Arabidopsis thaliana: one gene and its partner. Each later gene encodes a partner of the first gene's protein in a complex. Each region holds a gene or a part of one and is shown on either strand. Other genes may lie near its edges.

Evidence for each region.
Region 2: TIC40 (region 1) and Tic22-IV share a complex: the UniProt entries of both Arabidopsis thaliana proteins name them as parts of the tic complex.

Annotation. Positions count from the first base shown.
Region 1 is NC_003076.8:5,448,611-5,455,188, reverse strand, and holds TIC40 (hydroxyproline-rich glycoprotein family protein), read right to left. Parts: upstream 4,570-6,578; 5' UTR 4,382-4,569; coding exon 4,186-4,381; intron 3,935-4,185; coding exon 3,817-3,934; intron 3,729-3,816; coding exon 3,671-3,728; intron 3,561-3,670; coding exon 3,543-3,560; intron 3,133-3,542; coding exon 2,823-3,132; intron 2,704-2,822; coding exon 2,597-2,703; intron 2,490-2,596; coding exon 2,426-2,489; intron 2,064-2,425; coding exon 1,979-2,063; intron 1,874-1,978; coding exon 1,833-1,873; intron 1,649-1,832; coding exon 1,603-1,648; intron 1,497-1,602; coding exon 1,402-1,496; intron 1,321-1,401; coding exon 1,217-1,320; intron 1,117-1,216; coding exon 1,069-1,116; intron 987-1,068; coding exon 933-986; 3' UTR 612-932; downstream 1-611. UniProt on the Arabidopsis thaliana protein: Involved in protein precursor import into chloroplasts. Part of the motor complex consisting of a co-chaperone (TIC40) and a chaperone (HSP93) associated with the import channel (TIC110).
Region 2 is NC_003075.7:16,063,640-16,068,869, forward strand, and holds Tic22-IV (Tic22-like family protein), read right to left. Parts: upstream 3,259-5,230; 5' UTR 3,077-3,258; coding exon 2,711-3,076; intron 2,621-2,710; coding exon 2,558-2,620; intron 2,186-2,557; coding exon 2,111-2,185; intron 2,015-2,110; coding exon 1,964-2,014; intron 1,847-1,963; coding exon 1,787-1,846; intron 1,682-1,786; coding exon 1,619-1,681; intron 1,213-1,618; coding exon 1,177-1,212; intron 1,092-1,176; coding exon 999-1,091; 3' UTR 798-998; downstream 1-797. Other genes in the region: AT4G33355 (Bifunctional inhibitor/lipid-transfer protein/seed storage 2S albumin superfamily protein), read left to right, coding at 3,458-3,807, 3,920-3,929; FLDH (NAD(P)-binding Rossmann-fold superfamily protein), read right to left, coding at 4,350-4,490, 4,586-4,891, 4,992-5,156, 5,230-5,230. UniProt on the Arabidopsis thaliana protein: Involved in protein precursor import into chloroplasts. Imported into the intermembrane space via the Toc translocon. May be involved in the import pathway used by proteins without a cleavable N-terminal pre-sequence.

The DNA of each region.
Region 1 (6,578 bases):
TGTTCTCGCATAGAGTTCTTGAGGTTACATTACCTAAGACTAAGAAAGAGACAATATTTACTAAAAAGACAAAAGCTTTCTGAATAATCATGCTCACAGAATATCACATACCGTCAAACATTACGATTTTATAACTAAAACACTCTTCAAATGAATACCAAGCAAGGATGGTTTTTTCTCCTCGATTTTCTCAAGAGTCAGGGGATTATAAAGAACGGAAATACAAATTTGAAGTCACAAGGATACTTACCCACGACTCAATCATGCGACTCACAGCCGTCGGAGGCAGACGTATTCGACGGAGCCAAGGATTTCACGCGCCAATTCTCCCGACAACGACCGACGTACGGAATACAACAACAACAAAAAAAAACTCCGACTCCGATAGAAGTGGAACGATAAGGGTCATTGATTTCTTTAAGATGGGGCCATCACTTCATTAAACCGCTTCGATATCGCCACGTCACTTCTCCTTTTGGATATTAAAAATAAGGTAAAATTCCAAAATAAATCACAACTATTTAAAATTTGCGAGAAAAAAACTTCAATTTTTTAAATTGCTAAAACAAAATATTGGCAGATTTATTCACACAATCTCAAACAAAAAAAATTGAGGTTTTTTCAAGCAAATTTTGAATACATGAAGTTTATTTTGGAAATTTTCCCTTAAAAATAATAATTTGCTCTTCAGTGTCTTCATAGACTTTTTTTGGTAAGACAACAAATTCTATTGTATAATATTCATACCAAACAACAGCAGCGGCGTTTTCACACGACTCCAATTCCCGACCGCGTTTAAGATTAACATGGTACACAATTCTCTGATCTGACCAAAACTGAAGACTCTTTGCAAAAAAAAAAACATTTTTTTCTCCCTACAAAAAGCTAAAGACAATGTGACATTTTTGATAGAACCAAAGACGTGAGCTTTTTCAACCCGTCATTCCTGGGAAGAGCTGCGATATCTTGTTGAACACATCCATTACCTGCAATCAATGTATAATAACCTCAAATTTCTTAAAAAAGTAATCGCCTTTTTGGGCAATGGAGAAGTGGCAGTATTATTACCTCTTTGTCGTTTTGGTACTTCATGATGTTCATTGGGTTCTCTGAGCACTGCAACAACAACAAGAATGTAATTGGTTTCTGTTTTGTATGAAGAAAGAAGTGGGGTAAAATTAAGCAATTCTCTTATTCAGGTTAAAAGAAAACGTACTTCCATTAACGCTGCTTGGACTCTAGGATTCTGGAATGCCATGGCAACATCAGGGTTCTCCATGATCTTAGATATGACTTCTTCTGGAGTTAGTCCTATTTGATCTGACAAATACAGATTCAATCATTGAGTATCAGACCTATTTAACGTACTATTAACTTGGTACAAACTGAGATTTGTCTTACTGAATTGTTGCTTCACTTCAGGACTATTCAGGTCAAAATTCTTCAATGTATCTGTCATTCGCTTGTCCCATTCACCACTCCCACTCATATTATTCCTAAATTCATGAAAAGAAACAAACAAGAGTATTTCTTAATTACATAGTTTAGACATTCTTAAAAGCAATGGAAACAACTAAATTGTTCGTAAAATGGAGCTCTTACAACATGTCCTGTAGTTGTTGACGGTACTGAGGATTTTTAAGCATCCCTACAAAATTCCAAGCGGAGACAATAAGTACCAAACTGTATTTTAAATTTAGATAACCATTGGATCAACCTATAAACGAATTACATCATTCAAAAGCTAGTCATGTAACCTTTAGTCTTTAGAAATATGTAAAAATGAGGACTAATAAAAGAATGATAGCAGGATTAAATATTAAAAGACTTACATTTGAAAGTTTCTGGGTTCCTCATCTCCTCAGGCAAGTATCTGCATTTATACATGCAATGTTACCAAATGTCCACTAAGCAACCAGTTTTAAAGATAAACTTAATGGATGCATTTAAAGACAATGTGCTAGGGAAGATGAGTTACGGGTAAACCATCTTCTGGACTGTTGGATCTTCCATCATTTTCTCTAAAGCTTCTACAGATAAACCCGGCCCTCCTTTCCCACCACCTGTGTAAACAATAGACAGACTCAGGATTCAGTTTTAAATTTAGAATAAGGAAAAGAGAGACAATAACGTGAGCATATAAGAAAAAAGAATCATAACACATGAGATATGAAACAGATTGCCAAGGTAATATCCTGCAAGTCTTATATGGTTATACCAATACAGATCAACGACTAGCAGAAGGACAAAAGTAACGGAGTAGATCCTTTTGAAGCCAACTCATTCCTCTTTATCACCAATTTCATATCTTCCTTTGTTTATAATTGTTGGCATATGCTATAAAATAAAATTGAAATCCGTAGCCTTAATCATGAATCATGCACAGTGCGCTGATAGTGATGAAAACTGAAATTCAATAACTCACCCAAAGATTGAAAAACCTCTGAAGCAGTGGCACCATTTGCCGGACCAGCTCCATTTTGCAAGACCTTCACCCAGAGATCAATAAGAGAGCATAGAAGGTTAGCAAAACTATGTCACGTTTTTAAATCACCACTTGGTGTGCTGTGGAAATACAAAAGAAAACGAAACTTACATCCTCAAACAAGCGAGTTTCTTTGGGGGAATTAGTTTCAGAGACTTCTGCATAGTTGCTAAATGGGCTTTCTTTTGTGGTTTCCTCGGGTGAAATGTCTTCAAAGGCTGCATCCAAAAGTAAATCAGCTTCCAAGTTAGAAGCTTGGAAAATGAGAAAGGAAGAAAGTCAAAATTGAGAATACAAATGAAAAGACGTTGATTTCTGAAACAGAAAAAGAATCTACCATAGTTCTTTTCTTCTTTCTTCTCTTTGCTTGCCTCTAAGACAACACTTGGCTTATCCACCTCTATATCCTTTGCAGGTGTAGGTTTCGGTTTAGTTGAAGGAGGTGTCTCTACTTTTGTCGCTGTCACATCAACGGTAGCACCTGAAGACTGGGATTGAGATTGGAATGGCGAGGAAGCAGGACTTGTTTGAGGAGGAAATGGAAACGGAAAAGGTGATCCTGATGGGAATCCAGAATTATTAAACTGGCTATTTTGCGTATTCATTTGGTTCATCATCGTCTTCATAGCTGTTTGCATTGCATATTTCTAAACCAAAGCAAAAAAAAAAATCCAAAGAGAGTAACAGCCGGTTAGAGAATAATGAGAGAAAGCAATGACAACTTGTATAATATATTTCAATCAAATACTGGAGTTGCGAAAATGACTATAAGTCTGAATACCTGAGTTGCATCACTAAAACCATAATGGTATGTAGGTTACCATCTACGAATCAAGTGACTACCCAAAAAAAGAGAGGCAAAAGTTCGATGCTTATATAAACGGTTCAACAAGTGTGAGCAAACAGTTCACCTTGTTAAGATAACCAGTTTAGTGAATAAAACTATCTCAGATACATGAGCACAATACACTAGAGTTGACATGAAGCATAAAATCGTGGTTCTGCAACAGACTAGAGAACAAAAGTCCCGTAAAACCAGAGGGCCAAGTATCTGTACCTTTAAATTTGAAGTTACCTGCAATGCCATCAGAAAAGAAAAAAGGTCAAGCACTTATTAATCAATATTGAAGCAAGAAAGAATATTTATAGAGGAAAAAAAAATTAGGAAGGAATCTTGATACTCACATATGAGAACAAAGCTGATAGACCAACACCAACACCAATCCAGAAAAGTGGTGATCCTCTACAAGAAAAAAGAAAAAACACAATTTAATAACCAAGAATCAAACGACATACAAACTAAGCACATTGTCCAAAACCAGGAAAATTACATGGTTGATGAAGATGGTGGTGGCACAGGCACACTAGGGGAAGCAACAGAAGTTGTCTGTTGATCACGACTCGAAGAAAATATACTTGCAAAAGCTTTGCTTCTCTGTTTCACAACCACTGCAAATCGAACATAAACTTAAAGTAAACAATTCTAACAATGAATGGTTTCTACAAGAATTCAAATTGCAAATTCACAAAGTGTGGATTTTTTTAAGAGATATAGCAATTCATAAGCTCATATTAAACCAGTCGAAAAGGGTTCGCAATTTGAGTTTCAATAAGATAGATAAAAGTAATAAACTGGAAATTTTTCCGGAAAATTTTGGCATTTGCTATAATAGAGTGTCGAGTGGAATTTGCAAACTAACCGATTTCTCCAGTGTTCTCCGGACGCGAAGAGGGAGATTGAGATTGAGCAGAGGCAGATATTTTGGAACACCGGAGGACAATATTAGGAGTCCGACGAGAAAACCCAGTAGGGTTTTTCAGCGAGGAAGTGAAATTGCATCCAATTAACAGCTTTGGAGAAGAAGCTGAGCAAGAAACTAGGGTAAGGTTCTCCATATCTAATTGTTTCTTTGGGAGAAAAAGAAACAGAAGAAGGAGAGCCTAAAACAAATTCTGGTGGAGAAGATGAAAGATATGATGAGGAAGAAGGAAACGAAGAAGAAGAGATTTTGGTCTAAAACCACGAGGTTTGAGTTTAGCACTAGACTTGGATCCAGTGTAGCTAAGTGTACTGAAACCTTTTTACAAATTAACAGGTGGCGATATTTTCACCGTCAAGATCAATGAGTTTTATTTATAAACCAAGGGTGTGATGTGAGTGAGAAACTCTTTCGAGATTATTGCAAAAGCCATCCCCCACTTTTTCTTTTTGTTATGTTATAGCCCGTATCTATTTTAAGAATCAGTGTACACTCATTTTTGTAGCAGAAAATCAATGATGTTAGTACTGTGATTCAGATTTTTCTATATACTGTGTTCTTTTTCTTTTTTTCATCCAGAATTTTTCCATTGTATTATAGGTTGTGAAATACAAAGGGTGGAATACAAATTTGAAACACAAAGCCGGCGGAAAACAAAAATATCTCCGGAAACTAAACCTAAAGAAGGGAAAACTTAAGACGAAAAACGAATAAAATTACGAACTATGGAAACAAGGGGAACCACAGATGGATTAGTCCCCAATTAAGCCCATACATGAGAACAACAAAATTGGCTAGGTTTTTCGTTGTGTTTCTCGTCCAAACGAATGAGACTACGCCCAAATGGGACTAATCCATTTGTAGTTATACTGTTGTGTTTTTCGGATTGTCCAAAAAATTGAATACTTAGTTCAAAGCTCACAATGAACAGGTTCAAGAGCCTTACGCCTTTAACATTGATTTAGGATTAGAGAGTCTGGAACCGTTGCCGAGTTACATAGTTTACACATTTCTTATTAGAAAAGAGTTTTAGTAATAAAGAAAGATACACTTTCATATAGTTTCTGAATATTATTATGGAAGTGTAAGTCTCCTATATGTAACTCGTTCACCTTCATCATCAAATTGGTTTACACAGTTTGTTCCATATGTCATTCCCAAAGTACATTGTTCTGTCAAATTATTCCACCATGTGGTAAACATCGAATAATGCTCTCTTCTATTTTCCCAATTTTTTGTGAATTTTCCCCAATTCGAACATAAAATGACATTAAAATTCCTAACTCAATATCTTTGTAAGAAGAAACCCACTCTTGGTTGGATACATATCAAGCATCCAAAAAAGATCACAAAGTAATCTTACAAATCAGCTACGTTTAACAATATCGAAGACAAAAACAGAATTCATAGCTGCTTCTCAGACAAAGGGCACAATGATTCCACATATGAGTGCTTGAGAAAATGATAATGTTCTTCAAGATTTAAACTAAGAAAAATATCGAACAAGAGCTCTACACTGATCTCTTCCTTGATCTAAAACACAAAGGGAAACAAATCCCCTTCAAGTATTTTAGATCAAAGTGTCATCAAGCAATACATATAGCTCAAGAACTCTTTCTTTGGATTAAATCAAGAAGAACCACATCACATTCTCAAGCCCATCTTTTCAGTGTGGTTAAAGCAATATAATCATCATAGAACAGCCAAAAAAACAAACCAATTTTTTTTTTTAAAACAACAAATTTAGAAAAACTGAATATGAGAAAAAGCTGCTTCTCAGACAAGGGCCAAGGTTGTCCACATGAGTGAGCTTGAAAAACGTGAATGTTCTTCAAGCCTCAAACCATGAAAAATGTTGATAAGAGCTCGACATTACTCTCTACCTTAATCTAAACCACAAAGGAGAAAAAGAATCCCCTTCAAGCAACTTAGATCAAAGTGTCATCAAGAAACTCCGAGATCAAATCTAATCTTTCTCTGGTTTGAATCAAGAAGAGCAAAATCACATTCTCAACCCCATCTTTTCAGTGTGGTTAAAGCAAAAAGAATCATCATAGAGCAGCATCAAAAAGCAAATTTTCACAAAACCTTTATTTGAGAAAAGGTTAACACTTTATCATAGAAATTCGAAGATCTAAAATATCCAAACATAAGATCAGAATTAAAAACATAGGAAGATGTCGAATCTCGAGAAAATGCTAGAATCCACGGGAAAAAAAATTCCCAGAATGCTACATGTCCAGAGACTCCAAACCATCAATGAAGATGTTTGATTTAGCATCGGAACATAAGATTTCTTTTAAGCTATACATGAGTGCTAAGCTTAAAGACTC
Region 2 (5,230 bases), on another chromosome or scaffold:
TTGCTGTTACATAAGTTCGGAGAACATGTAATCTCCGATAAAGACTATACAACAACTTAACACAATACAAAAATAAAATAAAGTAGTAGTTACAGCTCAATTGAATAAAGGAAAATGTCATCAAAAGTAGGATAATAAACTACATATTTCCGCCCAAAAAAAAAAAACTAAAAAAAAACTACATATTTCCACAATTTGATGATCTTTATCAGAAAACGATGCAATCTATGTTAGAAAATAAATTATGTTACAGATTTGTTCACAAAACCTCTACCAACTACAACTTTTGAAAAATTGGTACAAAAGACCATAGGCTACAATTGGTTGGAAGAATAAAGAAGAGAAAAAATGTTAGTAGGTGCAATATGCGACGACGGAGGAAGTCAAGCAAGCAACAAGTTTAGTTCTGCTGTCAACATCGCTTACTTACGCTTCAGGAAAGGATCAATGCTTTTGAAACAATCTCATCTCCTTTTCTTTTTCTTACTTCAACTTGTTTTTTTTAAGGCAGTAACAATTAGTAAGGATGAAAATAATCACATTATCATTAAGCTGAGATGTCAAAGCGATTATGATGAGAGGAAAAGAAAATGAAAATAAGTATTGGTAAGACATCTTAGTTTTAATAATCGTATATCAACCAAATTTGATCAATAATTAGCTTAAACCAACATATCATTTTAGAGGCCTCAACCTCCTTTGAATAATTAGGCTGATACTACATTCTAATGACAGATGAATAACGTACATCTCCACTTTTTAAAACAAACAAGATTATGTTATTTGATTTAGGTATCCGTATATGCCAAATATATTTTTCTGGATGTAAGAACCACGAGTAACATGTTGATGATGTGTTTAAGTGGTAAAAGGAGAGGAGAAAACTAAATTTTGGGACTGTGTTGAGCTCTTTGGGCAATTGATAATATTGCAAAATCTCAAAAGAGGCTGTTTTTTTTTTATCAAGTAAAAATACACACATTGTGTCTATTATGGTTTTACTCTTTGATCAAATCCTGCATGTGTTGTGCATAACTTCTTCCCGGTGGAATGAATATTACATCTTCCCAACCTGAATTCTTCTCGCTCATCTACATTGATTCAATTCAGATTTTTATTAGACTACCAGGTTTTCATACTTTAAGGTTTCTTTAAACAAAGAAGAAGCGTGAGTACCTCCATTTTCCTCAACACATCTTCCAGACTCCCAACCTGCAAAACAAAAAGATTAGTTCCATGGTGAAGATAAGAAAACTCTTAACAAAACCAATGCTGTGAAATTACTTTATATATTGATCTCTGATATGCAACTTTGATAACGATAAACCTTGGAATTCATTTTAACTCAGATATATGAAGGCATGTACAATCTGAATTCCGCTCTTTCTAAAGTTTTCTAAGACTTTTCCCTTTCCCTCGCTGTTCCTTTGAAAACATGGTGTTATATGTTTGCAGAACATGTAATCACAAAAAATGCTAGAAATTACATATGATGCCAACACAGCTACTAGCTACTCCCACTTGTTAGTAAACCATGTCTTTAGATCAAGGTGTTTGTTTCTATCTTACGTGGCCTATCGAAGATTCAAATACATAGAAGGTAGGTATGAATCATTACCATAATTTGTTGATCTCCTCTTGATGCTCTCGTATATTTAGAAAGTTCCCTCTCTATATCTTCCTGAAAGTGGTCACGCAGAACAGGAAAGTAAGAGTTATCTTCCTCTGTTTTGGCTTATGAGAGATCTATTAGTATTCTTTAACGTGGGAGAAGAAACTAACCAACCTTACTGAAATATACAGGGCAGTAACGTCTATTTTTTTTCCTCACAACAAGAAGCTCAGACTGTAGAGGCCAATAACAACAGATAGATATCAAGAGAAAACAAAGCAAAAACACCAAAACATAAGGAATCCATATTGGTATAATAGAAAAACACAGAAAATGAGTATATCAATTTACCTGAAAAACCGGAACTCCATCAAACCCATTCTTATTTCCTGAGGATTTGAGCTGAGACGCAAGAAAATATAGCTTATGGATAAGATTGAAATGCCAAATAAATGCTATAGACACATATAATTAAAAGTCTGTTTAGCATGAGCCAACCTCTAACGCATTCTTTATTTGGATTGGATCTGGCAAGAAGCGAAAGGAAATCCCTTCAACTTTTAGCAAGTACACCTGTAAACAACATCATCTTAACTTCTGGGAATGTAGCTACCACGATTACGCAAATAACATCAAAAAGTTCCCTAAACGTAGTTATAACTTATAAGTTCCAAGCCATTAGAGGGATTATAATCATGCCATCGTTGCATTCTTTCTTGTGACGATGTTGTCAACATTGCTACGTGCACAAGAACACAATCTCCCGTTCATTCAAACTGCCAACAGGTGTTCCTATTACCGTATAATATAAACAACTAAAATGAGGCCAGACATGAACAAGTCTACTTAGAATTTGAGCTCCTGAAATTTGTTTGTTTCATTTGATTTAACCAATGGCTTCTTCCACATTGATCTAATGCAGTGATCATAAGGAAAGGGAACTACCTGGTCCAGAGTAATGGGAACAACCTTCGCATTGGTTTTCAATTCTCTTCTCCGAAGTCGCGCCTAAAGGAGTATATTAGAGAATTATGAGCTCAGAAACTTCACATTTTTTTAAAAAAGTTCGGAGGAGAAAAATACAACAAAAAGCGAAACCTGAGCAAGAAAAGCTTCAGCATCCTCTTGTCGAAAACAGAGCAAACCGATAGACTTGCCTCCGGTAGGATCCGAGATAAGAACGAATTCGTTATTGGTGTTACTGACTGTAAACACCGACGTCCCAGCGAGAGCTTTAGCGACAAGAGATGGACTCAACGTCGTCGTCGGGGTTCCAGACTTGGATTGTGAGACGGAGGCGAAAGGCGGCGGAGTAGGAAGAGAGAAACGTCGAGTAGCTAGGGTTTCGGCGAATCGTTTCGTGTCTTCGATTCGGGCGGAGAGGTCGGAGCTGAAGCGGGTACACTGGTGGTGAATGAAAGAAGAGAAGGAGAGGAAAGGATTGGGTTTCACTGATGACTCCATTTTTGGATTTGCAGAGAGAAGAAAGAAGTAGAAGAAGAAGAAGCAATTTTTGATACTATGAAGAGAGTGAAGAAAAAGGCTTCAGAGCAATTCGTTTGGGCTTTTTTATTTGGGCTTTATTGGACTTGATTGGTTTTAGTTTACGTTTAATATGGCCCTTGATCAAAAGTTTGGTGACAAAGCATTTATTAACTTTCTAAACTCAACTTCCACACCATTCTAAACACATGACATGACTTACAAAAAGCTTTTGTCACTCAAAATTCATGTCGATGACATTTTTTTCCTCCAAATTTCTCCTCCTTATAAAATACTTACTAGATCAAGCAAACAACACACTAAAGAAAACAAAATTGTTAAAACTCTCGTTAACTGAAAAATATGAGGAACATTACTACTACAACCCGAAAAATGTTACTACTTGTGATTACGATTTTATTGGGGATTGCGTATCATGGAGAAGCCATAGCATGTCCGCAGGTAAACATGTACTTAGCACAATGTTTGCCTTATCTAAAAGCTGGAGGAAATCCGTCTCCAATGTGCTGCAACGGACTTAATAGTCTAAAAGCCGCAGCGCCTGAGAAAGCCGATAGACAAGTAGCTTGTAATTGCTTGAAGAGTGTAGCTAATACAATCCCTGGAATTAATGATGATTTTGCCAAACAACTCCCTGCTAAATGTGGTGTTAATATAGGAGTCCCTTTCTCTAAGACTGTGGACTGTAACAGGTAGCTACTGCAGTTTCTTTTTAATATTGCCGAAACATGTGTAGTTGTGAGAGCTTCTAACTACATAATCCTCTAATTGACCTATTTAATTTGTTTTGTGAACACTGAACAGCATAAACTGAAAAGAAGATTGACTACCAACGGCCATGCAGCTACAATAAAGTGGATATCCTAAAAGATCAAAACCATCATGAACAAATTATATGGATACTTAGTATTTATCTTCTGATCATATATGTTATAGATGTAATCATATAGTTCTTGGCAGATAAAATGTGATTATTTCCCACATTTACATATTCCCTCTTTCCTACTCTCACACGTAGCTCAACATCTTAAAATATGATCATCAGCATTTGCACACAATGTTTCACATTTATTTGACATACACGATCAAAACGAAGCAGTTTTGTAACAAGATAAAAATCGATTGGGTTAAAAGTGTAACGGGAGAAGTAAAAATGTAGTCATCACTCATCATAGTGACTGAATTCAAGGGAATATTATTCTTCGAAATACCTGAAAGATGGGAAATTTGAATTTCAGTAGTGAATGACGCCCAGACTCTTCAACCAAGGGAGCATCTCCTCCAATCCTTCCTTTAGGCTTCGAGGGTTATAACCAAGTTCCAGCTTAGCCTTATCACAAGAGTATGACCACTGATGTCTCAGCACTGTCACTGTCTGTTCATCACAAAATACTAAGAGTTGAGATTATTCTATACCTAATAAGATAATCTATAATATGTGGGCAACTAATGAATGCAATTGAAACTCACCGGAGGACTGATAAGTGGAAGCTTTCCTGTAACCCGAGAGATTAAAACAGATAACCATCCGTATGCGTTGATGGCCCATAATGGAATGCTAAAGTTTGGCTTTTTGGTTCCAGTAATCAGTGCAGCCATGTCAAAGACAAGCTTGAAAGAAGCATTTTCCCCAGTGAGTAAGTATCTTTCACCAAGCCTACCTTTTTCCATTGCAGCAACATGACCCTCCACAACATCATCAACATGGCTGAAGGAGTATCTATCCGTCCCAGAGCCAATATATCCAGGCAACCTCCCGTTAAAGCGCTCGATCAACTAGAAGAACAACATCATGTGATAATCAACCACATACTGTCAATGTACCACTACATCATCCCACCAATGCAACTCTAATCAGCAAAAGGAAGAATCATACCATTCTAGCAACCATATTGGCTGAAGTGAGCTTGCCTGGACCAAAAATAACACCAGGATACAGCAAAATTATCGGCACACCTTCAGAAGCAGCATTCAAAGCCATCTTATCAGCAACAGCCTTGGATCTCTCATACTCAGTGCAGAAGAACCTCTCATTATGAACCTTATCTCAAGACCAGATCAAAATCAGAATCAAACATTACAAAACAAAATTTTGAAATTTAAAAGTATCATACT